2 linked regions of the Oreochromis niloticus genome follow. The protein of the gene in region 1 interacts with the protein of each later gene in a biochemical or structural test. Links are inferred from orthologs where the notes say so. Each region holds a gene or a part of one and is shown on either strand. Other genes may lie near its edges. The genes, in order: irak4 and E3 ubiquitin-protein ligase pellino homolog 1.

Region 1 (15,443 bases):
CCATTTTCAATTTTCAGACTTTGAGAGCAAATGTTAGCTGTGACACAGTGGGTCAGCTTGATCAGACACTCTGACAGCTACAAATGTCACTTAGGACTAATAAGTGTTAGTCTGATGTTTCCAGTAAAGGAAAAATGGTCAGAAAATTGAGATATTGATGTCGCTTCAATTCAATGTTGTACAAAAAAATAAATAAAGCAGCACTTTAAAAACACATCAGATATCAGTAGGGAAAAATAATGTTGGATATGCACACTAATGTGGTTTGGGTAATGTGTTAGGAATGAAAGGATGCTGCATCATTTGATGGAAATGATATTTTTAACCTTCAGAGGGCTGAATTCAAAGATATCCCAAAAATCAAAGTGAAAAATTATGCAGCAGAAATGAATTCCTTATCCAGGAACTGTCTACATAGTCTCATCACAAGCAGCCAGGCATTGTGGAAGAATCCAGGACCCACTGGACCAGTGTAGGGTCTGACAATGGCTCCAAAGATGGGTCAGATACTTACTGCTTTCGCCTAGCCTGTAGAAGTCTGTGTGTCCCTCCCCAGACTGTCACTGACGTGCCACCCAACCAGTCATGCAGAAGGATGTTATAGGCAGAATAACCTTCTCCTAAGCTTCTCCAGAGCATTTCATATCTCTCATGTGCTCAGAGTGAACCTGATCTCATCTGTGAAAAGCACAGAGCACCAGTAGTAGACCTGCTAAATCTGGTATTCTATTGCAAATGCCAGTCGTGTTCCATAGTGCAGGGCAGAGAGCACAAGGCCCACTAGAGGACATCGGGTGCTGAGGCCACCCTCACAAAGTCTGTTTTCTGATTGTTTGGTTGGAGACATTCACACCACTGCTCTGCTGGGGCTCATTTTGTAGCTCTGGCAGTCCTCATCCTGTTCCTCCTTGCACAAAGGAGCAGATACCGCTCCTGCTGATGGGTTAAGAATCTCAACGGCCCTCTCCAGCTCTCCTAGACTAAATGCCTGGCTCCAGGAATCTTCTCCATGCTCTTTGCTGGGAGACACAGCAAACCTTCTAGTAATAATACAAATTCATGTGCCATCCTGGTGGAGCTGGACTACCTGTGCAACTTCTGCAGGCTCCAAGTATCTCCCCATGCTACCAGTAGTGACACTGATCATAGCAAAATGCAAAACTAATTAATAAACAGCCTGAAAAGATTAGGAGGGAAAAAAATGTCAGTAGACCTATCAAACCATTCCTGTTGTAGGGGTGCGAAACCAGTCTTAATAAAGGACAGTGATCTGCCACAATGTCACAATATTAATAGAAACATGCTCCAGATACACCACCTCATGTGGTCACAGCTTTTTTAACACTTACTACCCAGTAAGTGTAAAAAAAACTTACATGTTTGTGCAGTGCAACATATAGCATGTAACTCATACACAATTCACAACAATTTTTCTAGTTTATTGCTACATTTTTACATCTTCAAGGCCAAATTAGCTGCTGAGAGTACTGTATGAGTTAATCTGAGTGAAACTAGTGCACTGATACAGTGAGCAAAGCAAAAGTGTAAAAGTTTAAACCTACAGTATCTTAACTGCCACACAGTCTGTTATCTAGCAAAATGCTGTGGTGGTTAACACTATCGCTAATGTTGACTAAACAACGTCACAGCCAAAGATAAAAAAAGTATTTACATCCGGAGATTTTTTTTAGATTTGTGTCCTTTGTCTTTATCGAGACAAAATAAAATTTGTGAGCAAATTTCTATAAAAAATCTTACTGTTTTTTATTTCCACTCTTCAATTTAAAAAACAACAACAAAATAAAACAGGTATGCTTATATTAATAAATACACCTAATGGTCTGTTTCTATGTGTCATGCTGTATTAAATTCAGACATGGCATTGCATGACTCCTGGCATTTTGCCAGATGCCCCAGAATACACCGTGCTAACTAGTAGCCTTGGAGTGGTGGTGGAGATGCCAGGGGAGGCTGTTCTTTTTGTTCTCATGCTGGTGTGCTTGGTCGGACAGAACATTTTGGGATCGCAGCCAGAGATTTTTGAGGAAATATGAGAGGGCAACCTCCCGCAATCACCCAGTGTCGATGACCACTCGAGTGCAACGCAGTGGTGAGCTGCCACTCAAGATGCCGCCAGATCATTCCTTAGAAGTAAACTCCTGATGAGCTGTGGATGTGTGAGTGTGTGCTTGTGTGTGTGTGTGTGTAGGCCAAGAGGAAATTGGACAGGCAAACAGCTGCTCTTTCCCTGCAAATTCTTCAGCCCACAAGGCAGAAATGAAAGGATACTTTGAAACACAAAAATTACTTTAATTTCTGGTTGACTTCAAGCCGTATTGCCTTAAATTATGTGAACTATTATACGCTGCAGAGGAAAAAAGACCGGGTTTCTTTGTGTGTGTGCATGTGTGCGTGTGCTAGAGAGAGAGAGAGATTTCAACCATGCCCCATATTCTAGGTTTATGCATATTTAAGGACGTGCTAATATTTACCATACTAGTCATTAATTAGTAGTTGCAGGCTGCCCTCTATGTGTCTAATGGGCCATTACAGTATTGTTGTGTGCACACATCTGACCAAGATTAAACATGCAACACAGAGATGGGTCTCATCAACATTAAAGCTAGAAACATTTAAAATTCATAGCCATAAAACACCTTCTGACACAAAAGGCTATTAAAATGTTGTTCAGTCCCTGGGGTTTTTCTCAGTGCGCACTAAATCGGATCAATGGTGTTCCAGTTTGAGAGAAGACCTCCTGCAGTGAATTCTCAGTGTCTATCAGTGGCACACTGCTAAACTCCTTGTATGCACAGGCAGTATACATTCAGAGATACATTGAGGCTCTTCCATTTGACCCCGATGCTGTGCCCATACCCCCCGTTGCTCTTCTCTGGACTTCCCCATTCATTTGGCTCATTTGAATTCAACTATGGGAGACCTCCAACGAGTTGGGTGAACTGTTAAACTCCCCGACAAGACTGCTAATTAATTTCAACAGACTGTACACACTGCATCTTTGGTGCTGATTTATGAGCATAAATCAGTCTCTCTCTCTCTTTTATTTTAACTAAAAAGTGGGATGTATCAGTCTGAAGCCCATAATTTCTTAAAGCACTGCATGCACACATGCATCAGGGAGGGTTTTGTGCTGCTGTCTCTTTTTAGGTATAAACAGTTCAGCAAATGAAAAAGTGTTCAACCTGAAATGTGACATGCACAGGGCAGAGAGAATAACAAAGGTGTTGGATTCAGATTTTTGTCGTTCTTCTGTTCGATCATCTATTTTTGCTGCACTTGTTGTTTAATCTTTGCCTTTACTGCTACTAGAGTCTTTGTTAAACGTGCCGTTTGGAGCAAGCATTTGGAATAAGCCGAGACATTTGCTCAAGAGACCAGTGATATTCCCCCTTCACTTCTATGCATGGAAACATTTCTCAGTTGGATTCAATATACATCCTGACTGTTAACAGCAAACCATGGCGGAAGCTTCTAATTATTCAGCTATCTGATTTGAAGATGTGATCTCTTAAGAAGGTGTCAAAGAATGCCTTCACTGCTGTACTGTCAATTTCTCACATGTCATCATAGCATCATAGCATCTCCATTTACTTCCAAACTTGCCCTCTGGTTCTGTCAGTGTACATTCGATCATTGCCACAATTGTGTTGCAGCTTTCCTTTGAGGTGCAAAAACTCCTATACCGCCAAAAGGATTCGTTCACTCTTCCAAATTATTCAGTTCAGGTGTTTCAATCACTTCCATGGGCACAGGTATATATAGTCAAGCAGCCAGGCATGCAGACTGCTTCTACAAACATTTGTGAAAGAATGGGTCACTCTCAGGAGCTCAGGGAATTCCAGTATGGTACCGTGATAGAATGCCAGTTGTGAAATTTCCTCGCTGTTAAACATTCCACAGTTATAGTGGTACTATAGTAAAGTGGAACTTAATGGTAACAGCAGCAACTCAGCCGTGAAGTGGCAGGACACATGAAATCACAGAGCAGGATCAGCAGATGCTGAGGTACATAGTGTGCAGAGGTCACCAAATGTCTGCACAGTCAGTCGTTACAGACCTCCAAACTTCATGTGGCCTTCAGATCAGCTCAAGAACAGTGCATAGAGAGCTTCATGGTATGAGTTTTCATGGCCAATCAGCTGTTTCCAAGCCTTACATCACCAAGGACAATGCAAAGCACTGGATGTTGTCATGTAAAGCACCCTGAGACACTGGACTCTAGAGGAGTAGAGACATGTTCTCTGGAGTGACAAATCCCACTTTTCCATCTGGCAATCTGATGAATCAGTCTAAGTTCATAGGTTGCCAGGAGAACCATGCTTATCTGGCTACACTTTCCAAGTGTGAAGTGTGGTGAAAGGGGACATTAGGTGTTTTTCAGGAAATGGGTCGGCACCTTAGTTCCAGTTAAATGAACTCTTAATGCTTCAGCATACTGAGATATTTTGAACTATTTCATGCTCCCAACTTTGTGGGAACAGTTTTGGGACGGCCCCTTCCTGTTCCAACGTGTTCCATCATGTGTTCCAGACATGCATTAAAATTTAACTATACAACTGATTTTAATTTTTTGAAATTTGCAGATTTTATTCACGTTACTTGCAAAATTTTAAAAACACATTCCCTCTTAATAAAACACACATTTTCACTGTGGTACAGTTGTGATGCATAATGCTGAACACATGTTTTAAAATGGTATATTTGTATATTGGATCATTTGCAACAAGCACCAAATGGTTTTAATGGTTTTAAAAAAAATACTCATTATTATTTGAGAATTGTGCCTTTTATGTCCCCTGTTATTGTGTTTTATTGTTATTCCCTATCTGCTTTAGTTTTGAACTATATCACAGTCCTTTGAAAATAATATTCTAATGGGATTTTTTTTTTTATTATATAAAGGCTACATCTGCTATTCTGAGGGTGAAATTTCTCAAAATTTTTTCCAAAACATTTCAATAATTTTAACAATTTTAACTGTTCAACTTATTAAGTTGAACAGTTAATAAGAGTTTTCCAGACTCCTAAAAGCTATGAAACAATAACGTCTGCTGCAAAAAAAATATCCCACATGTAACCCCATCACCATCAAGGTCATTTGGGAAATAGACGTAATTCTGCCTGTTATGCAATCACAACGGACCATATAGCATCCGTGGCTAGCACAGCTTCTCATTTCATGTGTCCTTGTTTACCATTAAAGTTTCCTAGATATCACATGACTTCCTCAGATCACTTCCTGCACCTGCAGCGTTTCCACCCGCTGATTTAAGCCACTTTGGCACGTCTACCACCTCTGCCCTTGTTCCCAAACTACAGGGGACCTCGCTTTCTGCTCTCCCTCACATCTCCACCTCTCCTTCGCTTCTATCAGATCCTCTTCTCCATCTCTTTCCCTCTGCACTCTAATTATCGAGAGCCTTCTCCCCTGTGCTGGCTGTTAGTTTTCCTTTTTTGTGTTGTTGTTGTTTTTTGAACTTTTATACTTCTCCTCATCTTTAGCGTCAGACTCTCCCTTTCCAGCTCTCTTTATTTTCTTCTCCCTTCATCCTTCCACTCGCCACAGGAGAGCAGAGGCTCTGGCTTCACTCCCTGCCTCTGCGTGTGATGCGTGCATGCAGTGTTTGGATCCTGTCAGTCGGGTTAGAGGAGGCACGAGATGATCAGGCACTTCAAAGAATCTCCTGCGCACAGGTGTGAGAGCTATCCTTCACCAGGAGCACACACAGGGAATTTACCTGAGCTCTCGGCAGCTCAGGTCCTCGTCAAACAAGCGTCTTCTTTGATGATCTCTTGGGCACCGCTGGCTTGTGTTCGCACCCCAGGTTAGCACACATACACAGAAAGAAGACAGGTACAGATACACTCCAACTCCTACTAACAACATACAATTGCTCTAATGAAGTCCCATGTCATTATGCAGAGGTACTCAAATGTCCTCACCTGTCATTTAATAATAAACAACTTCTGACGAGCTCCAGTTGGTCTCATGTATTATGTATTTGCAAAAGATGGCATCAAACCTCAAGCATAAAGAGAATACACACTTTTGGGCACCACAATTGCAGTAATGGCTCTCATTGCTTTTCCTTCACAAAATAACTTAATTGCACTTTGGTTATTTATGTGGTGAAGTCTCCTTTTCATGTAATGCAGACCATCTGTATGCATTGTCATAGAAGTTGTTTTTAAGTTTATGAGTCACTAACTTTTATTGAGAGTATCACTCGTGGTGTCATCAGCCAAGCCTATAAAAATATAATCATAACAGGCCTGTGGGTTACAGTTGGCTCTCTCTGCTTAGATCATCTCTTGTATGCTCCTTTCACAGAGACATAGTGAAATGACTCGCAACTGTGTAAAATCATGCAAATGTTGCTTGTCATCATCGGGACTCATCAAAATCACATGCAGCATTCAAGAATTGTGTTAGCGTGTGTTGTGAGTTCAGTCTGTTGGTGCAGTGATGGCCATGTGCTCGGGGTCACTGGTTTCACAAGCTCCATGCTAAAAGTAATAGCCTTACATACAAACATTATTTATGTCTTACTTAAAATAGGTGTTGGATGACTTTGGGTAGATTGAGATGACATTTTTGAAGTTTGCATTTGAATATAATTTAATAAACAAAAGTTGAACGCAATATTTTTTAATGTAAGAACAATCGTTCAGAGAAGGAGTGAGAACTGTGCCCATGCATGACTGAAAGTTTAATATCAAATAAGATCAAAACTCAAGCACACTTGAATTTTTGCTTTGATGCAGTTTGGTGTGTGCACAGTGCTAGCAGCAGGTCTCTGTGGATGGTTTGTTTGATGGGTTGAGCTGATGTTAATAGCTCAATAAATATCAAATGGATTTTAATTTCACTTGTTCATATTAGCATTTAAAACATGCTATTGTAAGACTTTTCTGATGCAAAAAAAGTTTTAATCTTGTGTGTGGGTTTTTTGTCTGAAATTTATGTCTCTCACACACGCATCTTGCACTTCATCACTCCACCCAGTAATCCATCCCATCCAGTAATACAGCTAAGCCTTCCATTTGCACATGGAACTGATCACAGTTCATCAAATACAGTGCAAATAGCAACTAACACACCATAAACAGATCCAGCTTTTTTGTAACACAGAAACAACAAAAAAGGTACTCCAAGCAGTTTAGACCAAATGCCTCCAGCTGTTTGCCAAATTTGTTTGACATGAGATGGCTCGATCGAGGTCACCGCCTTGATGTAGTTTTAAAGTTTCCAAGAAAAAAAAATCAGTTTGTCCTGCAACACATTTGGGGAGTTTATTTGGGGTGGGGTGGGGGCGGGGGGGGGGTGTCTGTGCTGGACTGTGACTGTGATTTAAACACCAGTGAAAAAAAAAGTGCCTTATGGGTGATGGATAGGCTGATCGATACCTAACATCCTGCAAAAATGACACCCTTTGGTTTACATTGTGTGTTGATGTAGCAACATAGTAGTTCATAAATGTCCAGTTGAGTGTTTAAATCATGTATTCACCATACACAAATAGGTACAAAAAAGATGTGTGTTTGTTTTTTCATAATACTTACTTATATAGCTATATGATCACATTTCCAAATGAATGCATGCGTTAAACCTAGAGTTTAATAAGAGAAGATGAAGATCGAGATTGAGAAGATGTTAAGGGAACTATTTTCTATTTTCTTCTGTTTTTGTGCATTTAAATTATATGCATACAAGTATTATAATATTTGATATACGCAGCAATTATTATGAATTCAATCACAGTTCTAAGGTCTCTCTGTTATTCATTCCATCCATCCTTTTCTGCCTATCCCAGATATCATTTGGGTGAGAGACAGTTTACACCCTGAGCAGCTCGCCAACCTGACGCAGGACTAAAACAGGCAACCATTCACACCAACGGGCACCACTAACTGCATGTCTCTGGAAGGCAGAGCACCCACGCAGACACCATGCAAACTCAACACAGGAAAGGCCCAGCCGAGTGGTGGACTCAAACCCAGGGTGTTCTTGCTGGAAGGCAACAGCACTAGCCATACACAAACAGCCCCGAATGGAAGATTTGCTTTATTTCCATTATCCACTAGAGGGCACTGTGACACTGTAAACCACCATCACACGACAGCTGTCTCCCTTTCTGCTCTTGTGCTCTTGTGTTACCAAAAAGATAATTATATAAATAAACACACGGAGGTTTATTGTTAGTTTGTTGTGCCCGCTTACAGGTAAGAACAGCCAGCACAGACTGTATTATACCACAGCACTCACTCTTTGCGTTTCCGCTTTGTAGGCGGAGACCTTTTGTGGGCCAGCCCTGCTGGTTACGTTTGGGGAAGTTGCTCAATATCGGAAAACACTGTTTTTTTAGGTATGTGAGCAAAACATAACTGTTTGCGATTTTTCTGGATTAAAGAATCCACTCGATGGAGTATAATTAACGTCTTCAGGTCTAAGATCATGACAACATGACTGTTAGATAAAACCCAATCTCGGGTTTGGTCACAAGTTCCCCGCAGAATGGATAGTTCAGTAACTTCCGCTACTTATATTCGTAACCTCGGTTATTGTTTACGTCGCAAGTTGTCCGATTTTTTGGATCCTCAGGACAGGTGGAAAGAAGTTCTTGTAGATATACAGAAACCGAGCGGGGAGCCGAGGTATTCCCAGCTTCATGTCAGGTAAGATGGGGGCAAACTTTCTGACGTGCTTGCTTTTCACTGAATGAAATCACACTGATTGTTTACTTATTGTTTACTGAATATGTGCCGCTGTCTTTTAAGGAGATTTGAGGGTCTTGTTGCACAGGGTCGCAGTCCCACAATGGAGCTGCTCAATGACTGGGGGACCACCAAGAGCACAGTGGGTGAACTTGTGGACATTTTGAAGAGTCACGAGTTACTGGCTGCTGCCAATGTTCTGCTACCCGGTATGACTTTTAAAAGCCATTAAATAGTAACCACACGCAACAGGTAGAATAAACCTTTGAATCTTAACTTACCCCAAATCGTTTTCCCAGTATCCCCCCTTTTTTTAATTCTTGTAAGAAAATAAGATGTTAACCACGAGTTATGAAATTGCAATAAGAGATGTAGCAAAAAACTTCTGAACTTTTTGGGTAGTGGATGAGTAAACATCTGTTATGTTATATTAAAGGTGTGATGCCTGGAACATAAGGGGAAACAGTCAAACCGCACTGATACAGGATGTAAAACCCAATCATTTATTCTGATCATTTTTTGTTTTTGTCCTCACACATTTGAAGAGTCCAGTCCATTGGAGACACAGCTGACTCCTTTAAAAACCCGAAGCACTGCTTCAACCAGACTGCTGGAAGAGAGAGATGTGCAGCAGCCTGTCACCACTGTGCTGCAGCTTCGGACGCCAGAGGAGAACACCGAACCAATACACACAGGTCTTTCACTTTTTGATTATGTATTAATTTTATGTTCATATCTTGATTGAACATATGACATTGAACATATGACACGTATGACATTTATTAACACAGTCACTTATGAGTCATATTCATGTGATGTTTTTAAGTAGATAATGTTCATCTTTCATTATCTGCTGAAAAGCCTGGTTTCAGTGAATTAAAATGTCATATCTTTCTCAGCACCATGTAAATTTGCCACTGCAGCACTAAAGTAGTGCAATAAATCTACTTGATTACATTAGAGCACTGTAAACAAAGCTGCTCTATAGTGGTTTAGGGTAGTCAACAAAGATGATATTTTGATTTCAGTAAGTGATGCTGCTTCTTTGTAAAGATGTGATTTTATGTAATCGACAGCAGGTGGCAGCATCGGGCTCTTGATCAGAGAAGTTAATGAGGCAGTTTACTGCGTCTCCCCCCTTAGGCTTCTCCAGTTTCTTATATAGTGACCTGATGAGGATCACAGGCAACTTTGATGACCGGTCCACGTCAGCTGGTGGCAGCCGAATTGGAGAGGGAGGCTTTGGGACGGTATACAAAGGTCTCCTGGATGACAAACCAGTTGCAGTGAAAAAACTCAATCCAGTAAGTGAAAATATTTTTAACAGAACCACATGCCTCTGTGTACTGCTGTTAATTGCATTTGAGATATTGTATTATTTAGGTGGACGACATGCCACTGGACAAGTTGCAAGATCAGTTCAACCAAGAGATCCAGACTCTGAAAGTGTAAGTTTCCCTCAGGAAGAAGGTGAAGAAGCATATTTAACATACGTGTATTTACAAATGCAGGTGTGGTTTAATAACAGCATTTGTTCCACAGGTTGAAACACGAGAACTTGGTTGACATGGTTGGATTTTCCTGTGACGAACAGCACCTGTGTTTAGTGTACGCTTTCATGGCCAATGGATCTTTATTAGACCGACTGGCTTGCTTTGTAAGCATTATTTACTCTTCTACACAAACAGTCTGCTTTTCAGTCCCAGTGCTTTCAGAAAGGGATTTAATTACATGCTTTTTTTTTTTTTGTTCATTTAGGAAGGAAGTCCTCCACTTTCCTGGCACCACAGGTGCTTGATAGCAGAAGGAACAGCCAAAGGTTTGGAGTATCTGCACTCCAACCATCACGTCCACAGAGATGTTAAAAGGTTCATAGAGCGAAAGCTTTCATCGTTATTGGTTTAGAGATATCCCACAAAGAAGAGAGAAAATGTCCCGTTTTTGATGTCCCGTACCTTTATGGAACACTATACACATTACATCACATTACTGTGTTAGACAAAGAACCAAAAAAAGACTGGGGATGTAGAGAAAGCTTACCCATATGGTTTTCTGCAGATCATATGACAAGGTTCTCTTTAGAGCTAAATAAAAATTAGAAAAAGGTGAAGATCATGAAGATCATGAGTAATTAGTAATGCAACAGTACAGGTTGGGCACGAAAGGTAGAGTTTGGTAATTTAGTGAGTTTTATAGAGGCTCATGAGCAAAATCATGCAAGAGGTATTGATGTTTTAGTTTAACTCTTGGCAAGGAAGCCAGTAAAATCACATTTCCCTAAATGTAGAAATATACATTTTACATGACACATGACGGGATGTTTTGTTGCTCACTCTGGCTCGTATTTCTTCCCTGTTAGTGCGAACATTCTGTTAGATGAACAATTTGTGGCCAAAATCTCAGACTTTGGTCTGACGAGAGCATCGGCCAAGCGAACATCGACGACCATGATGACTGAGAGGATCGTGGGTACCCGTGCGTACATGGCACCGGAGGCGCTAAGAGGAGAGATCACACCAAAATCCGATGTCTTCAGTTTTGGAGTGGTAGGCTTTCTTCAGACACACACACACAGATACACACAGATAGGGCTGGAGAAACTGCAGCTGTAATGTAAAATGTAGAGCAGTACTCAGCACTTTCCTTGACTCCAAGGTTCTCCCAAACTACTGACACATATATACCTGCAGGACACAAGCGTTGCAGTATACTTTTTTCCCTATTCGTGAAAAAAGAGCTCTATTGTTATTTATCATCTGTCGTTATCCCAAATCAGTTGTGGGACACAGCTATGTGTATTAGTAGCTATAATTGTCAAACATATTAGATGATTTCTGGGACCAGTGCTTTATTAAAATGTCTGACCTTGCCACGAAGCATATGCATTCCCACATGCTGTGGGAATACTGCAGTGTTGGCGATGTTACCCGCCACATATTAGGGTAATAAAGTTTTCCTGTTGCCCAGAGCCGTGCGATTAACCCCGTCTCTCTGCCATCTACAGGTGTTGTTAGAAATATTGTCTGGACTCCCGCCAGTTGATGAAAACCGGGAGCCACAGTTCTTGGTAAGTTACACAAAAGAGGCTTTCATCGTGTTATCTGGCAAGCTACATTTTGTGCTTACGGCTGATTAAAGGCTTTGCATTTAATAAGTCAGGGAACATTATCGGTTAATAGTCAATTTGTTAAGGATTTAAACAAAAAAGTTCAAACCTTTCACCTTTAAAAGTTTCATCTGTGCTCATCATGTGCTGATACCGCATTTGATATTTAATATACAAGTGAGGATCTATGGAACATGCTTGCAGAAGATGACAGTTACATTACTGTGTGTGTGTGTGTGTGTGTGTTCCCTACTTTATTTCCTAGATGGAGATGAGGTATGACATAGACGATGAAGATGAGGAGCTGACTCTGGAGGATTTTGTGGACAAAAAAATGAAAGACTGGGAGCTGAGCCAGGTGGAGAGTATTTACTCCTTGGCATGCAACTGCCTCCATGACAGGAAAAACAGACGGCCTGTCATCAGACAGGTACAGGAAAGATCCCAGCAGATTTAATGTATAGGTCAAGCTACTGTGTTGGCATCTGCACAGCTTTGCACCTTGAGCTATTTGCCTGTGTTACGAGCCTCAGCTGGACCAGGCTGAATAAGGAAATCCCACAAAGGGAATTTTTTTTGTTTTAGTTTTTGAAAAGAAAAGAGGATCATTAACAACTGAGTCGGGTCATAGTTTGGGTTTTCTTTTAATGGCATTTATTAGCAAAAATACATTCACCAGACACTTCATTAAATACACCTGTTTAACTGCTTATTAACACTAATATCTAAACGGCCAATCACATGGCAGCAACTGACTGCCATGTAGGCATGGTTGTGGTTATTTAAGCACCTCGAGGTGACTTTTGTTGCGATTTGGTGCTATGTAAATAGAACAGAGTTGAACTGAATTGAATGATAACCTGCTGAAGTTTAAAGCAAGCATCAGAATGGGAAGTAAAGGTGATTTAAGTGGCTTTGACCGTGGTGTAGATGGTGCCAGACAGGCTGCTCTGGTTATTTCAGGAGCTGCTGGTATTTTCCCACATAACATATCCAGTGAGCGGCAGTTTTGAGGGTGAACATGCCAGAGATCAAAGGAAAATGGGCAGACTGTTTCAAGCTGATAGGAAGGCAACAGTACTCGTTATCTTAACAAGGTATGCAGCAGAGCATCTCTGAATGCACAAGATGTTGAACCTTAAAGCAGATGGGATGAGCAGCAGAAATCCGAGGCCACACTTCACTCGGACAACAGAACATTGGAAAAACATTGCCCGGTCTAATAAGTCTTGATTTCTGCTGACATTTAGATGATAAGATCAGAATTTGGCATAAACAGCATGAAAGTCCAGCAGTTTACCAAAACCTCAGGCTGCTGTTGGTGTCATGGTGTGGGGGACATTGTCTTATCACACTTTGGACCCCTAATACAAACTGAGCATTGCTTAACCACCACAGCCCACCTGAGTGTTGTTGTTGACCATGACCAAAGTAAACCGACATTTTAATGACTGCTTCCAGCAAGGTAACACACCATGTCACAAAGCTCAGATCGTCTCAGACTGGTTTCCTGAACATGACGAGTTCACTGTAATTGAATGGCCTCCACAGTCACCAGATCTTAGCCTTAATAGAGCATCTTTGGGACGTGATAGAAAGGGAGATTTGCATCATGAATGCATGATGCAAATCTCCCTATCCACCACATCCTGACAAATCTGTGTGACGCTATATTAACCAAAATGTCCGAGGAATGTTTCCAACACTGTGTTTAATCTGTGCTGCGACGAATTAAAGCAGTTCTAAAGGCAAAAGGGGGCCCAACTTGATATAGCAAGGTGTACCTAATAAAGTGTATGGGGAGTCTATGTAATAACAAACATATTATTTAGGGGATTTAGGGAGCAAATGCAGGCAGTAAGAGAATGGAGACTGCACTCTCGTCTTGCTGAACTAAAGGAAAATGTCATATTGTTGCTACGATATATGTTTGCTAACTTCATGATGTAGTTATGATTGTTGTGTGTCTGAACAGGTTTACGCAGAGATTCACGGAGTCGTCAAAAACATTGCACTGGATCTTGATAGAAAGGCGTGAAGCAAAGCATCGTGGGAATTCTGAGCTTGCTTCAAATCACACTGCAGACTGACAGAAGAATTACTGCACTGCAAAGCTTTAACTATGTTTTTTTTAAAGGCTTGTAGCTTATGTGTGCAATTGCTGTAAAAATACTGCTGAATACATTTCTGTGAGGCTTTTAAACAAATCTAATGGCCGAACTCTTTCAGAATGCTGACTGCGGTTATTCTCGCCACTGTTAAATGTATTTATTACGAACAATTAAAGAAATAAAGTGAAAGAAAACGTGATTTAAATATTTTATTTTTCTTCTTTAAAAGAATTATAAGAAAACATAAGACCAAACATGATTTTTTTTCTATTATAATGACACTGTATGAACATAAAGGGATATTCCCTTCAAACATGAGGTGAGCGAAGTAGTTTGCCTAATATTAATCAGTACATCAGTGGATGTGGCAACATTTTGATCAAGGTAATTATATTATTCCCTTTCCCATCCAGTAGCGTGGCATTCCCTGTCATTATGGAAACCAGAAAAGCTGGAAAAGCTTCCTTCCTTGTGAAATCTGAAATGTGTGGATGTAATATTTCTGGAAGCCCCAGTTCTTTCACTGTGATCCTTACCGACGTGGACATCTACCTCAACAGACCAGACTGTTTCTTAATCAAAGAGCATCACACAGCTACAATATGTACATTTACAGCACTTGCATAGAAAAATAAGTATCTCAGCAGATGATTTTTTTCATGTAAACCACAGTTATATCAAAAAAGAAGTCAATTTTTTTCCCCCAATATAAAATGGACTGTTAAAATGAATCGTCAGACACAAGTTTGAGAATTTTTTTTTTTCTGCTTTGGAGCACCTCATTGTGCGAACAGTAGGAGACAAATAATCAACACATTAGACACAGAAACATTAATTGACACGAGGAGGAATGGAAGTTAGGAATTTGAGCACGTGAACACAAAATGGGGTCTTTTCATCATATTGGCGAAAGTTCACATTAGTTACACTAACATTTTTGAAGTCTCAGAGCTGGCAACGATGTGAAAATTAAAAAAAAACAACCTCATCTTTGACTTGGTTTGGGCCTCTCTGAATTATAGTAAAAGGATTGTTATGAATGTACTAACCTACATGGATGTACTTCCATTTGGCAAGCTACAAATGGAAATTCTGAAGTGTGTCATTGCTCAGTTGTCCTTGGCGTGCATAGCTGGGTCTGTGGGTGAACTCTGTGGGAATTTGAGGTTTTTGTCTTATTATTTTAAACAAGCGTGTCGAAAATGATTAACCCCCCCTCCCTCCTGCCTTCCCCTCCCCAAAGCAGGAATGTTCCTCTGTGGACCGTGCTCGGGGTAGAGGTGGTGGTCGGGCGGTGAGGTCTGTTTAATCTTCCTCCTCTTTCTCCCCCGGTGGTCGGGTGATGCGGCGACCGCCCTTCTTACCAGCGGGGCCTTTGGGCTTGGCAAAGCGCTGCTTGTGTGCGTGCTGCTTGGGATGCACCTCCTCGTACAAGAAATCACTTGTCAGTTCTTCTCCGTTTTCTATTTCCAACTGGGAAACAGAAATAT
Region 2 (16,076 bases), on another chromosome or scaffold:
AATGAAAAATCTGAAAAGCTCTGATGACCAAATTGCTTTCCCTCTTGCCCTCATTGTGTCTTGGATTTCACTGTAGTTATAGTCAGTGTAATACTTGCTGGAAAGCATCTATTAAAATGAACATGCTGTGTTGCCATTGCATGAGAAACTAGGGTCACTCATAACATTTCAGTAAATGTATGTTTCTGGATCTATTTATTTGTTATCTTTATCCTTTTACAAAGTTAGGAAAGTAGATTGTATCTTTGTATTATGGTTATGATGTTGTCTTACACATAAAGAGTGATACTTGGCCTCTTCTTCATAGTAATGACTACAGCTTATTCATTTCACTTTGGTATCAGAAGATACCTGAAGCCAAAGTGTCAGTAAAGTAGTAGAACTGCGGATAATGGAATTTGGGCATCCTAGAGATTTAATACTTTTAAAGGTCTTGTTCTTGTGACTCAAGCTTAATCTAGAAGAGCCATTCAAGCAGTATGTTTCAGTGTTCTTAACACTCACCACTGATACAGGAAAGAGTTGAGAAGGGTAAACAGCAGCAGTGGCAGTTGGGAAAGCAAAGCCATCCAGCTGTCATAGCTATAGTCTTTGGAAGAAGTGCCTGATGTGCCATTTGAGGTGATGTCTTGTGAAAGACGTTCATTGAAATACTTAAAGAGGAAGAAAAAAAAGTCATTTACTATAAAAGGACACACTGTGCATGCTATGAGATTCAAATAACAACATAAACACAGAAAGAACAAGAATGATTTGAATCCTTGTGCAAAATCGCAGACGTGGGGGTTTTTTTATACTTATTTTCCTCATTTATCTTCTCAGCAGTGTATCGTGAAAATCATAAATAAGAATAAAATACAAGCAGTTTTTAATTAAAAACAATACAATCATTTAATTAAAATGTATACATTGAAACATCATCTATAAATAAAAAAATATCTATTAGAATCCATTAGTAGCTAATCTTGTAACAAACCATTATGCAGAAACTTACCTGCCTACATACACATTTCATTTTCAAATTTAACAATGCTAACATGTGATACAGGGATAGATGATAGTCACGATGGTCTAAATTTAGAAATAAAGAATCTGCTGTGATAAAAATGTGGAAAAAAATGACGTGAACATGAAACCTGAGATGCTGTGATGAAAAAGTTCCAGGGGAGCAGAGTTCCTAGACCGAGCACAAAGATAATGAGGGCCACAGCCTGACTGCTGTGAAAACAAAATACAAGTGGGTTAAAGGAGGATTCTTTTAGATGTGTGTATATCTCTAGAAATCATACTCACCGGTCAACAGGTGCACTCTTTTCATTCGACATCCTGATAGTTTGTCACGTGTCTGCGGATGTCAATAAAAGACTCTTAATAATAGTTTAAATTATGCGTTTCCATCACATGTACTGACTGAATACATGCTCCGCTGATTGCACATCAGAAACAGAAGCTTTTGTTGTTGTTGTTCTTGTTTTTTTGTACAACCATTTAAAAATACTAGTATAACTAAAATGAGAGAATAGTCAGGTGTCACAATAAGTTGCCCCCACAAATTCTTTGTGACTGTAAAAATTTGTTTGTCTGCCACAAGAAAGAGGAGAACACCAAAGGGATAAACCCTGCAGGTCTGACAACAGGAGGTGTATTACTCCTCCGGTTTTCTACCTGGAGACAGTGTTTACATTGCAATCTGCTTTTCTGACATTCAATAGTACCCTCACTGACACACAAAACAAAACAAGGACAACACAACACACCAATGCTAGGAGGTGTCCGTGGACCACAGAGGGTTAATAATACTCACCTTCATTCCATTTCCAGAGTGTAACAACAAACCACCTGTGTGAAATCTGAAATCCCCATGGTGTTGATTCAAAATGTGCTCTGGCACAATCATAGACATGGGTTGCTACTGAAAACAAGAGTTGTGCCAAAAAGTGATCGCCTGCCAAAAACTGATTTCCAGTATTTGGCAAAAACGAGTTGCTCATATTTAAACTTGCTATAAATAACTTGTTGGTCTATAATATGTAAAACATATGTCAAAAGTAACCCTCATGAATGACATCAAGTAATCTTGTGCCACAAACAACATTCCTGTAACAAGAAGCCAATCAGTTTTTTGCAGTGACTTTTATATATCCTTTATTTATCCAGTTAAAAAAAATCTCGTTGACATTAAAAATTTATTTTTTTAAGAGTAATCTGGCCAAGAGTACAGCAACAAATATAACAATAGTTCTGTAAACATATTTTAAGTGGACAAAAAGGACGGGATTGGTTAAGTACAATAAGACAGAGTTATAAGGATACTTGAAAAACAGGTAATTTGTAAATTTTATATATAGGGGAGAGTGAGGTAAGATGAGCCAGTGGGTAAGTTGAACCACCCCTTGTATCTAGGTAACTGTGTTCATGTTTTGTCATGTGACCATAAATCCAGGAAGCACTCATCATTTCCATCCTGCTATATTAAAGAGGAGCACATTGGAGAAGGGGTAAGTCTGTATTACACAAAAAAATGTTTTCTGCTTGTCAAAGTAAAATTTCTGCATATCAGGTAAATTGACTGTAATATTAAAACAAATGTATCTGTGTCTAAAATGATATATTATACATGTTGGTGGGTTTCTAAAATATAATATCATCTGAAGAAGTTTTCTAAAGATTAGCCTAAATTGCTAAACTAGCCCATTTTTTTCAAAATGGTGGCTATGGGGCAAAGTGAGCCAAAGGCTATGGGGTAAATTGATCCAATGGTTCAACCTACCCCACCATAAGGCACTGAAATTTATTTAAGGCTCTGACTTATTAAATAGTATTTTAGTTCAGTATACTGAACCCTTTTGTTGTATTTGTCATATGTTAACTATTATAGAAAAGATATCATGCCAAGGACCTACAGACGGAAGACCAGCTGGGGCTCAACACCCCTGGAGGAGATTGAAAGGGCAGCGAGTGAAGTCAAGGGAGGAAAGTCCATAAGATCAGTGGCTAAAGAAAGACAAATTGACAGGTCAACACTCAGGAGATATATTAAAAAGAGGGACACACAGGAGGTCAGATCGGTTGGCTATAGTGGAACAGCTTCAGCAAAGAGAGTCTTCTCTGAGGAGGTGGAGAAGGAGCTAGCAGAGCATATCAAGAAGCTTGCAGAGCAGTTCCATGGCATTTCCCCAAAGAAATGCCGTGAACTGGCATTAGAATTGGCAGGCAGAAACAACATTCCTACTCCCAGCAACTGGACAGAGAAAGGTTTAGCCAGTAGGAAGTGCAAGAAACAACATTTCAGTAGGTTGGCACAGACTAATGTATTTTGTGTAGTTTACTACTTTACCATTACATTTTTTAGGTAAAGAATGGTTCAAGAATTTTTTGGCACGCCACCATCTCTCTTGCCGTATGCCTGAGGCAACATCTTTGGGAAGAGCTACAGCCTTCAATAAGACTACAGTTGGGGAGTTCTTTGACAATCTGGCTAAAGTGATCGACAGGTAACAGAAGTTATCTAATTGAAAACATTAATAACTATTTATGACAACTACAAACAACAGTTAAGTGAATAAATATGCGTACTCTCAGCTAACATTTTTTGCATTACTTAAAAATTTAACTAATCATCATTGCTCTTTTTTTGTTTGACAGGTATAAATTCCCCCCAAACATGATTTTTAATGTTGACGAAACAGGTGTAACAACAGTACAGACACCAAAGCAGGTAGTGGCAGAAAAAGGAAAAAAACAAGTGGGCTCCATCACATCTGCTGAAAGAGGCGAACTGGTGACTGTAGTCTGTGCTGTCAATGCGACTGGTAACGCAGTCCCTCCGATGTTTATCTTCCCAAGAGTTAGATACAAAGACCACTTCATTGCAGGAGCACCTCCGGGATCAATTGGTACCACTACAAGATCAGGCTGGATCAGTGAAGATGTCTTTGTTGTGTTCCTTGAACATCTGGTTCAGCAGACCAAGTGCTCCCCTGACCTGCCACTGCTGCTAATCATGGATAACCATGAAGCCCACATTTCACTGAAGGCTTTGGACATAGCAAAAACAAGTGGTATTGTAATGCTCACAATTCCACCCCACACTTCCCAGGCCTTCAGCCTCTGGATAAGTGTGTGTATGGTCCATTTAAAACCTATTACAACAGAGCTCTTGATGGCTGGATGAGGTCCAACCCAGGCAAAACTGCCAGCATATACCAAATTGCTGGTTGTGTGAATGATGCTTTCATGTCAGCAATGACACCATGAAATATCTCCTCGGGATTTAGAGCCACTGGGATTTTCCCTTACAACAGAGATATCTTCTCTGATGCAGAGTTTGAGCCATCCATGGTGTCAGACAGGCCCAACCTGGAGCAGCAGCCTGCTGCTGAAGGTGTTGCACCTGTGGTTTCAGCCTCTCTTTCTGCTGAGCTACCTTCACCAGACCCTGTACATGCATGTGGTTCACGAAGTGACCCCAACCATGCTCGATATGTGTCTCCCACTGATATTCTACCCTTACCCAAAAGTCAGCAGCCCAGGAAACAAACAAATCGAAAGCGTGTGAAGACACGAATCCTGACTGATACACCTGAAAAGCAGGCAATTGAGAGAGCCCATGAAGAAAGGACAAATAAACTGAAAGGCAAAAAAGAAATAATCCACAAAAAGCAAGGAATGTGGAAGAGGAAACAAACCCAGACAAAAATTGCAGTGGAAAGCAGCTCTGAGGAGAGTGATGTTCCCATCCCATTTGAAGACACTTCTGAGTATGAGAGTTCCAGCGATGAAAGAAGTGAACCAGATGTCTCAGACCTGGTAGTTGGTGACTTTGTCATCGTAAGATTTGCATCCAAATCCAGGAGCCACCATTACATTGGCCTGGTTGACAGCTTTGCAGACAACGAAGTGAGTGCCAGATTTCTCAGAAGAATCCGAGGGATCACTAGCAGTAAGAAACCCACGTTTGTGTTCAAGGAAAATGATGAGGCATCTTTCCCACGCAAGGATGTGCTGAAGAAGCTACCTCAACCTCAACAGGCTGGAGGAACTGCAAGGAGGGAGCAACAGTTCATATTCCCCTGCAACCTTGATCATTGGAATATTGAATAGTTCTTTTGAATAAATGGTTTTGAACTGGTGGTTTGTTTAGAAACCACCAGTTTCCAGGTTTGTTCTCACAGGTTTACAACTGTTAAAATGGTTTGTTTTCACAATATGATCAGTTTTACATTTTAAAAACTACATGGTCAGTTTGCCCCAAGATGGCTCAGTTTACCCACTGACTAGGTTCAATTTACCCCTAATCTGGGGCAAGTTGAGCCAAAGGAGCATTTTTTTTTAATAGGTCATTATTTTGGGCAGCGTCATCAGACATAGATTCTGATCATTACATTTGAAAGGAGACATCCTGAAATAAAGGAATATGTTATCATTCTATTTCTGTGTCATTTTTTTCTCACATCCAGGGCAACATGAGTAAAAAGTGGCTCATCTTACCTCACTCTCCCCTAACCCTCTCGTAAACCCTGTTCACCGAAGTCTATTTACCAACATACGTTAAGATATTACACATAAAAAAAAAAACACACGGAAACATTGGAAATCAGTTTTTGGCAGGCGAACACTTTTTGGCACGACACCTGTCCGCGCTAGGGGCTGAACCATTTGTTAATGATGGAGGGGTGGGGGATAACACTATGCAATATATTTAGTTTTAGAATTTATATTTAGTGTTAACTGTAGTTAATGTTATCTTATTTTAATAAACAACACTGTCATATGCAAAACTAGGGTGGCAAGACATCATTTTTGTGTGGCACATGCCACCCCATGCCGCAGGGTTTGTACTCAACTATCTGAGACTGGCTGTGAGTCATCGACCTGCATCTTTAATAAGCATTAACGTCACATCTCCACATGTTGTCTTATCACGTTATTCTACCGTATTTCTTAATCTACGGCAAGGAACATAATACATGTTCAACGGATTAAAGCATATTGGTGTTTTTAAAAACAACTGCCTGACTAAAGACTCAAACCGTGAAACTTCAGAGGATGGAACATTAAAGTGATATTAACTTTAAATAAATATATATGTGTCTCGTTATTCTAGCGACGGAAGTTGTGTTTGAGTTTAATTAATCCAAATTTTAATTGTTTCGATGAATTTAAATTTACCCAGCAAGTTGAACGACGAGTAAATGATACATTAAGTAATAAAAAGTACACGTGTTCCGATTCTTTATGCGATATAAACCACACCGACAATTAACATCCAAACGCCATAAGCAAGCTAATAAAAACAAAGCACTCGAGTCTGAGCTGACCTGCGAGTCGAAAAACGTCTTCTTCTGGTTATCCCTGGATGAATGAATGAAAACGCGGTCAAGAAGCTGGGTGTGGGAAAACATGTGCCGCCAAAAGCGTTAGAACAAGGAAATGCGGAAACATGATGTGTCGGAACTGAAGAATCATATTGTCGCATTATGACTTGAAACGTCGAATTAGTTCGAGTGCTTCCCCCGCTTCCAACCCACTCAAGGATTGTGCTAATTAGTCTAAGGATTGTAACATGCAGTCCTATTAAGCATTCTCATTAAGTTCTTCTTCTTTTAACGAGAACTTGGCAGAGATGATGAGCCCCTTAGATTGGTGAGAAACCAGAAGATACAAATATGGAATGACATTTAGGTTATAACAAATGCGCGAGCAAAATAATAATAATAATAATAATGATCTGAGCAAATAATTTCATTTCACAGGCGCAATTAAATTCCTCGCGCCTAAATTCAACAACGTATGAAGTTATGTGGAGGCGGAGCCCAAAGTAGGACGGGGTCCTTATGTGATTGCTTACTTTGATGGACACTTTCGGTTTTTGGCTTAATCTGAGTTACTCTTATACAGCAAAAGAAGCGCTGTTTTAAACCGTACTTGTTTACAATTTGAAAAATAAAGTTTGCCAAATTAATTATCAACAGTTATTGCTTGCTGTGCAGCAGTGGAAATACACATAACTGTCACTGGATTACTTTAATGCTGAAGAACCAGAGGCATGTTTTATAGGATCTGCAGTGCTGTCCCATTAATCTGCTGTACAGTATTGCACAGCTTCTATGATTTAAAAAAAGAACTCATAACGAGGACCAGGAAAGGAAGAGTGCATCAGAATCTGGCAATTATACATTTGGCCAAAATCCAGACAGTTAAACCAGCCAGTAGAAAGTTGCTCAGTCTGCATCAACAGTGAATTTTGGAGGTGGGAACATGATGGTGTGTGTCTGTTTTTCAGCATATGGTACTGGCACACTTCAAATAATTGAAGGAAGGATGAATGGAAAAACGTACCAAAACATTCTTGATAAAAATCTGCTGCCAGATGATGCCATGGTGCATTTCTTTCAAGTTCATCCCAAAATGTGTTATATTTTTAAAGGAAGTACTGTCAAGAGAAATTGAACCACACACTTGAGTTGGTTAGAAATATGGTGTAGTATAATATTATATAATAAGCTCAAGTCATTCATATCCAGTTATTTACAAAGCAATAGCTATTATTCATTTCCTACTCCTGCATGAGGTTTTTGTAATCAAAGAAAACATCAGTCATGCTATCCTTATGTGATTTTCACAGCACCACAATGTTTTAAGGATGCTTAAAAAGAGCAAAAGAAATAAAAATGTTATTACAATTATCTGTCAGTTGTTTAAATAGAAGTGGAAAAAGCAGAAGAAGACAAAAGTAAAGATCAAAGCTGCTAATGACACCCACCACAGTCATGTCATCAGTGAACTTGATGATGTGGTTCTAACTGTGCATTGCTGCACAGTCGTGAGTCAGCAGAGTGAACAGCAGTGGGCTGAGCACACAGCCCTGAGGGGCTCCAGTGCTCAGTGTGGTGGTGTTGAGATGCTGTTACCGATCTGGACTGTCTGAGGTCTCGCCGTCAGAAAGTCCAGGAGTGGGGGTGGACTTCCTCACCAACACATCATTCTGAGCGTCAAACCGTGGATAGAAGTTGTTCAGTGCATCTGGTAGGGAGGCGTCACCCTGGCAGGCAGGTGTCGTCTTTCTGTAGTTGGTGATGGCATGGATGCCGTGCCACATGCGCTGCATGTTGCCAGGTTGAGTTGAGCATATAGCATATAAAAATGTATAGCATATAAAATTCATATCTAAAGATTATCAGCCTTGTCTTCAATCAGATGATTTAGACCTTGACAGGCTGAACTGTGACGTCAGAGTTTAATCTTCCTCCATAGACTAAACATTGAATTCAGTCTCCTGCAATTCAGTGTTTAGTCTACACAGTGGCACACTGCAGTTAGTAATGTCTGACATGACTGTTAGTGTATGCTATTGTTCCCGTTGTTTGGGAAACGCTTTCCACCTTGGGATCCTAAATACAAATAAAAGAAAAGGCTGTAAAAATCAGATCAAATACTCTCAGTAAAGGAACATGACTCATTTTCCAGGAACTAAGATCACTTCAAAGTTGGACAGTGCTCTTCTTCCATTACCAGCACAGCATAGCGTTTTACCTTAACCGGAAATAACGCTTCTAGGCAAGAGCCTTGTTACAGCTGTTCTGTTTATCCAGTACTTGTTATTTTTGTCTGTTGTCTGTCTCTATGTGTTAGCCTGCCTCAAACTGGCATAAGAAAATAGACGGATCGATGTTTTACGTATAATATCTGATTTAAATTGTGTTGTGACATGACTGGAAAAAATACCAAAAAAAAAAAAAAAAAAAAAAAAAATCAACACTATTTACATAAAAAAAACTACCAAGCTAACTTTTTGAAGTACATTTAGGAACAGGATGAAGCTTGGACCTCTACATCTTTGGGGACGGTTAATCAAAATGAACCAGTTGGTAACTCACTCTTGTCTTTCAAAAGTCTGAGCAGCAGCCTAATGTACCAAAATGCATAACAGACACGTCGGGGTTTAAACAGACATTATTAACATTTTACATACATATTATCCGCCTAGCTTACTCATTTCCGGCGATTAAGGACCCTGGAATGTACTTGACACGTATTTTGCTCACTACCGACTTCTTGGCTTTAAATATATTATCTCATGCGCAGGATGTTTTATGCTTGTGTGCTGTCATCTGTGCTATGTGGTTTACATTCTTCTATAGTTACATTTCCTGTCTTTCATATTTATATTTTAATTGATTGTTACTAAACCATTGCCCCCAGGATTAATAAGTATTCAGATTCTGATTCAGATTTTGATTTGAATTTAGCTGAAAGACCTAATGTGAGGAAACTTTTGACTAACTAAAGAGAATGTCTTATTGGGGTAACAGCTGCAGCAAGTCATAAACTTAGGTTTATGACAATCATAGTTGTTTGTGCACGGCTACACACGCAGACCACAGAGAAAACTGGAAGTACAGGTTTTGTATTTTCATAGTAAAACAAGTGTTAATGGTGCAAACATTTCAGCATCTCAAATAACCATGTTCTCTTAATTAACTATGAGGAAAAACTAAAAACTAAAAGTAGACATGAAAATCATTTTAGTTAACTAAAATAAAAATAAAAACTGGAAAAAAAAATCTATGCGTTAGCCCTGCGACAGTCTGGCGAACTGTTCAGGGTGTACCCCGCTTCTTGCCTAAGAGAGCTGGAATAGCAACCCTTAATAACAGAATGGATGGATGGAAAAAAACTGAATCAATTTAATAAACTTAGAAAACTAAAGAAATGTATATGTATATGTAATTTCGAGTTTATAAGACAAACTAATGGCATTTACTTCAGCTTGAAAACAATTTGGTATTTGAGTAAGTATTGAGTATTTTGGTATTCAAGTAAGTTACGTTGTTTTACTCTGAAATGTGAACCGGAAATCAGTAGCCTTGATAGCTAAGAGGCACAGTTGAGTTTGAAAACGGAGAAGCCAGCGTTCGCTCAGTGTGGGTTTGTTAGGAACTATATCGATAAAACGTCGCCGAACACCTGGTAAAAACTGAAGTAACTTTGACATTTTATGGTCTGAAACGGCTAACAGCGTTTGTTCCCTGGAACAAAGACATCCGGGACATTCGACTGCTTTAAGACGAACAGTAACTTCGGTGAGTTAATTGTCTAAGGAGTTGATTCTTTTCGTCATTGTTACCGCCACTAACGCCGACTAAGTCTTCTGCAGTCAGTGTTAACCTTATGCTAAATAAGTACCTAATGAACTAACACATTCTCTCCTTTTTCTCAAGTTTTACGATCGAAAAATGCTAACTAGCTACGAGTTACCGTAATGACGTTATATAGGGCAACAACAGTGTACCCAATTTCTTAAGCCATTCAAGGTTTAGGTTTAGGTGTAAGCGCTAAATAACCATATACGCGTTTTTTTTTTTCACTGACAAAATCCCAAACACAAGTTTTTTGGGGGGGTTTCTCGTGAAAATGTGTGAGTTTGGGTTAACGTAAATCAAATTTTATCGACGCTTTTTTATGGTCGTATATGGTATTAAATTTCGTAATAAATTACGGTGACACGTCTTTTTCGTAGTGACTTGTAAAGTGGAGTTGTTCTATGCATGTCATAAACGACTCTGAAGTGTCTGCAGACTCCAGTTACATAGCTTCTTTTCTTTAATAGTGTGTCGTACTGATTTGTCCACAATAGAGTGGCCACAAATAGAACTCCAGATATTTAATTAAAATGTACACACAACACTGCTATATTCTACAGCTCATTGAATTCAGGATTTGAAGTTATTATTTACATCAGGTAAAAAAGGTAGTGTGTGTATATTTAGTGTCTTAAACAGGGCTCTGTCCGTGGTGGTACTCCGTCCTGTCCTGTAGCCCAGCTGGCCTCCTTTGTCCTGGCCACACAGACTGATTAGCATTCACCATCCTACCAGAGCATCTGTCTCCACAGACACTGCTTTTGTTCCCCATTTAAATTTTGAAACTTTGTCCTTTTTGTCCATCTGTCCCCTCATATTAAAAGCCTACAGATGTGTCAGCCCATCTTCAAAGACGAATGTTGATCTAAAGCCTGGAAAGTTTTGAGTTCTAGGTGAGAGTTGCACAAGAGGATAAACAGAAGTGATGCTTACAGTTTACGTAAATTGAGATATTTTATTATCAGAATATCACCATTTATAGCTGATTTACATACTTTAACGTTTCTGTGGCTATTGTTCAAACTGGTATTCACAAACAAAAGAGCAGAAAAATTATGATATTAATCCTGAGGACGAATCTGTGAGAGAACTCTGAAATGCTAAGGATGGTAGTTGTCCCAACTTTGTCGCCAGAGAGCCAATCAACACCCAGATAATGAAACAGAAAAGCCATGTCTTTGACTTTCTACCACTAGAGTGAGGAGATCTCTGAAAATGTTGACTTTATTTTTGGCCAGTCCCCACTTTTTCACACCCCTCTTAGGTATATGCAGAACATGCCTGCTCGTGTTCTGGAGGCACCTCTGCGGTATGTGTGTGGAGTGGGAGGTATTTCTTCTTCAGAGGTTATGTGGAATCATCACAGGGTGTTATAGGTCTTGTACCTTGTAGCTGGTCTGGTTTGGTAAAAATCCAACACCTCCGCCCTCCTGTTATTTCTTTAACATTATTGTACATCAGAGCTTATCCTGTTGTGTCCATCTTTTGCTAACTAACTTGTATAGTACCCACAAGTCTTGGCTGACATTTCCTTTGAGCTTTAGGTTAGGATAACTTAATCTTTCATTTCAGCTCAATAATAGTTACAGATCTCAGAGTTTTAGAAATACTGGTTGGATGTTTCTTTCTGAATTTTAACATAGATCTATATCTTCAACTTTTTTCCAAGTAAACTCATAATTTTCTAGCATAGTTCAAAATTTCAAATAGATTTATTTTTAGAGTTTCATCATATACATGTAAGCCATAGAAGGGCTCCAACTCTCATAGCCATGATAGTTCTTTGCACTTTAGGATTGTCTTAATCCTAATAAAGGTTTTATCCCATGCTGGCATTCTGGCCTGGCTAAATAAGTGTGAGCCATCTGTGATTGGTGAATATTCTGCAGTTTTGTGGACTGTAAACACCTTACTTTCACAGTTCACAGTAATGAAACAATATAGTGGTCAGATAGAGGTACCCGTTTGTGTCAGGTGTTATTCTGTTGTCTTCTGTTTTTTTTCATAGTGGATAATGAAAAAAAGTGACTAACAGCTCAATGTACAGTGCTGTGGAAAAGTATTTTCCCTGTTTATGATGTCTTTCTTTTTTATTTTTGGACTTTTTGGCACATGATGTAAAATAATAAACAAAGATGGCATGAGAATTACAAATTGCAATTTGTAAATCATGATTTTATTTATTAATGGTCAGAGGGCCCGGTGGCGCCAGTGTTCGGCAGCCTCGCCTCTGTCAGTGCGCCCCAGGGTGGCTGTAGCTACAATGTAGCTTGCCATCACCAGTGTGTGAATGTGTGTGTGAATGGGTGGATGTCTGGATATGTAAAGCGCTTTGGGGTCCTTAGGGACTAGTAAGGCGCTATATAAATACAGGCCATTTACCATTTACCATTCAATGGGGGGAAAAAAGGCTGTTTAGACATACCTGGCCCGATTTGAAAATGAATTTCCCCCTGAACCTGCTGGTGTGGCACTTTTGACACCAAGAACTGCAAATGTTTGCATGGGTCTTTCACATCACTGTAGAGGAAGTGTTGTTAGTTCAAACCCAGTTGAAATGGAATGTTAACTTTCCAAAAAGTTCACCTTCTGCCTCCTCAGTCTACAGGGTATTTTCTGCTTTGGTTATCATTAAGATGTTTTTTTGGCAAATGTGACATGACCCTTTTGTACTTGTACTCTCCTATAGATTAGGGCTGTTCGATATAACGATATATATCGGATGACGATATAAAAACGTCGATCGTTTAATTTTACGCAATCGTTTGTTTTGTGGTGTCGCAAAATAAACTGTTTACGGCAATATTTTTTCATCGTTTTGATGGTCACTGTAGTGGCTATATTAATTTCTTAAAGTTCTTTCGTTCTCCTATATTTTATATAACCACACTACGGACGGACAAGCGCCTGTTTTTATGCGTTGTCGTTAGCAACAACGACGGTAACAGCATCGCCTGTTCGCTTGTTTGTGTTCCACATAAACCTTTCACAATAAAGCTCAAGATCCTGTTGAGACTTTTCAAAATAAACTGAATCACGTGAAAGAGCAGATTATTTACGGATGAGAAGTAAAAAAGAGCCGCCAGGTGTTAAAAAATAAACCTTAGACTAAAACGTTAGAACAGGCTTTTCCCTGCAGCACGCCGTGTAATAAATATTCACAAAGAAAACGGCGGCCGTTACAACTTATGTCTAAAAATGTATCGTTTCATGCATCGATTAAAACACTCGACTCCAGCTACATGATGCGCAGCTGGAAACACTTCCCGCAAGACGAGCTGCCCGAGATTCACAGAATTTACAGAAAGTGTTACGTTTTTGTGATTTATATCGTTATCGGGACGATAGAATTCTTATATCGGGATATGAGATTTTGGTCATTTCGCACAGCCCTACTATAGATGTTATTTTTTTGTTGCCTGCATTTCTTTAGATGATGTTCTGGTTTCTTCTTTGACCTCCTGGGATGAGTTGTCAATGAATGTTTTGAGTGTTTTTGGTAGGCCCGGTACTCCTGGGAAGGTTCCCCACTGTTGGAAGTTTTCTCTGTTTGTGGGAAATGGCTTACACCATGGATCAATGGAATCTTAAAGCCTTAGAAATGGTTGGTAAACCTTTTCTGGCTGGTGGATGTCAGTGACTGTGTTTGTTTCTTTAGACTGTGAGATGTTGCTTTTTGAAGTCTTTTTAGTCTACTCCACTTTGTAGGACAGATTCTATTTAAGTGATATCTTAATTTAACAGATCTGGCAGTAATCTGGCCCACGTGTGGCTAGTGGAATTGAGCTTGACTTTCCAAAAAAAGTATGTTTAATCGCAGATAATTTATAATTTGTTTTGTAAACATATTTATTGAATTTTGTATTTATAAACATCCAACACTTTAAACACCTTGAACATATGGCAGTAAGAAAGCACTAAGAACACAAGACATTCAAAAAAAAAATATATATATATATATATATATATTAATTGGGGTGCAACGATATTCGTATTGATATTGAACCGTTCGATACAGTGCTTTCGGTTCGGTACGCATATGTATCGAACAATACAACATTTTTTATTTATTTTATCAACTTTTCTTCTGACGATGCTGTCTGTGTTGAGCGCTCAGTGGATCTGCGTTCGACTACTCCACCTAGGCTGCACTGTCATGTGCAGATCCACTGAGTGTAGTGCAAGCTAGCAAGACAGAAGCTAAGCTCGTTGCAACATGGCAACTGCCTCAACGCTACCCGAAATTGAACCTCCCCCACCCTCATTCAGATCTGGCGTTTGGAACTATCTTGGTTTTCATGTGAAGCATGACCCTGATGGTAAGCGCGTCATGGACAAAAGTAAAACAGTATGTCGGATGTGCCACGCAATGCTCAATTTGTGGGAACTAGTGCGTTAGCGCAGTTAGCTTGTTAACGTGTTGACACCGTCCAGCCCCAAGCACGGGGCGATCCGCGGTAACTTGTTAACGGAGATTTGCCGCGTTATGGCGTTAATGTCATTTTAACGAGATTAACGCTGACCGCACTAGTGGGAACACAACGAATATGACTGCACATTTACGCCGACATCATCCTAGTGCAAAGACAAGTGGAAGCAGCCAAAAACAACTACTGCTACAAACTTTACCCGAGTCATTTAGACAGCCGTTAGCACATGATTCTCCTTATGGGGACCTGATATGTTTAATATGCTGCTGAGAGTATACCCCAGAAGAAGCGTATAGTATAGCTTTTATTTTGGAAAGAGCCATTTCTCTGTAATAAACTCTCTTTTCCAAAGATGAGTGATTTCTCGATCAGATAGATTTATTTATTTTTTTGTTGTTTCAGCAACATTAAATTTAAAAACTGTACTTTTGAGTTAAAATATATATTTATAATTTTAATAAATGATAAATTAAAAAGGCATGAACATTTTTTTGTATCGAAAAAATATCGAACCGTGTCACCAAAGTATCGAACCGAACCGTGAATTTTGTGTATCGTTGCACCCCTAATATTAATAATACTAAGGGAAATTTAAAAAATATAAAATAAAATCCAAAAAAAAGAGTACAGGATAGTCTGTACTGTATACATTCGTAAATTTAGTATTTAGCATATTTTCATTACATTATTTTCTCACCAGTTCCTCAACGTCCCCAGTCTTAAACAAGGACAGCTCCTCATATTTTGCTTTGTCTTGAATCGTCTTTAATAACCTCTCTCTTTAGTTCTCCAATTTTAGAGTCCAATTCATTCATTGTCTGAATTTATTAAATTTAGAACTGGTGAAGCTTATCATTTGTTCTCTAATATATGCTTTAAATGCTTCCCATCTGGTGGTTGCATTTGTTTGATTTTTATTTATTGAGAAGTAGAGATCAATGTGTTCTCCTAGGAATTTTATAAAGTCAGAATCTTGTAACCATTTAGGGTGTAAACGCCAGTTAAAACAGTGTCTGTTCACTTTGTACAACATTATAAAATAGCGAGACTGGGGCATGATCTGACAGAACAATACTATCATAAATACAGTCAGTTACACTAGGTAACAAAGATGAGGAAATAAGGAAATAATCTATTCGAGAGTGGGTTTTAAAAGTTGAAGAGTAGCATGAGTATTCCCTTTTGGTAGGATTTTGAGTCCTCCAGGGGTCACAGAGATTCAAATCTTTTATATATTGAAGTAGTTTCTTTCTTGTTTGAGAATGTGAGGTATCTGTCCCTGACGAGCGAGCAATCTTTGTGTCTAAGGTACAATTTAAGTCACCTGCCAATATTATCTTACCAGGAAGGACGGCCAATAACAAAAACAAATTCTCAAAGAGCAATGGGTTGTCATCATTGGGGCCGTAGAAATTAAACAAATTTATATTTTCTTTCAAGAAGGTACCCTGGACCACCAAAAATCTAAGCGCTCTGTCATAAATGGTGTTATTTACCTGAA

The links.
Region 2: of the proteins of irak4 (region 1) and E3 ubiquitin-protein ligase pellino homolog 1, one has a biochemical effect on the other in vitro, tested with the Homo sapiens proteins (4 studies listed by BioGRID and IntAct). The link is inferred for Oreochromis niloticus from reciprocal best matches to the Homo sapiens genes IRAK4 and PELI1.

Annotation. Positions count from the first base shown.
Region 1 is NC_031972.2:47,511,480-47,526,922, reverse strand, and holds irak4 (interleukin-1 receptor-associated kinase 4), read left to right. Parts: upstream 1-8,309; 5' UTR 8,310-8,536; coding exon 8,537-8,697; intron 8,698-8,799; coding exon 8,800-8,945; intron 8,946-9,281; coding exon 9,282-9,431; intron 9,432-9,879; coding exon 9,880-10,040; intron 10,041-10,119; coding exon 10,120-10,184; intron 10,185-10,278; coding exon 10,279-10,393; intron 10,394-10,494; coding exon 10,495-10,604; intron 10,605-11,095; coding exon 11,096-11,282; intron 11,283-11,740; coding exon 11,741-11,803; intron 11,804-12,107; coding exon 12,108-12,272; coding exon of another isoform or gene 12,273-12,299; exon of another isoform or gene 12,300-13,244; intron 13,245-13,817; coding exon 13,818-13,880; 3' UTR 13,881-14,997; downstream 14,998-15,443. Other genes in the region: twf1a (twinfilin-1a), read right to left, coding at 15,259-15,426.
Region 2 is NC_031971.2:1,154,671-1,170,746, reverse strand, and holds the start of E3 ubiquitin-protein ligase pellino homolog 1, read left to right. Parts: upstream 1-9,859; 5' UTR 9,860-10,085; intron 10,086-16,076. Other genes in the region: equilibrative nucleoside transporter 2, read right to left, coding at 505-653, 1,137-1,218, 1,294-1,325; uncharacterized protein LOC109202627, read left to right, coding at 4,339-5,103. UniProt on the Homo sapiens protein: E3 ubiquitin ligase catalyzing the covalent attachment of ubiquitin moieties onto substrate proteins. Involved in the TLR and IL-1 signaling pathways via interaction with the complex containing IRAK kinases and TRAF6.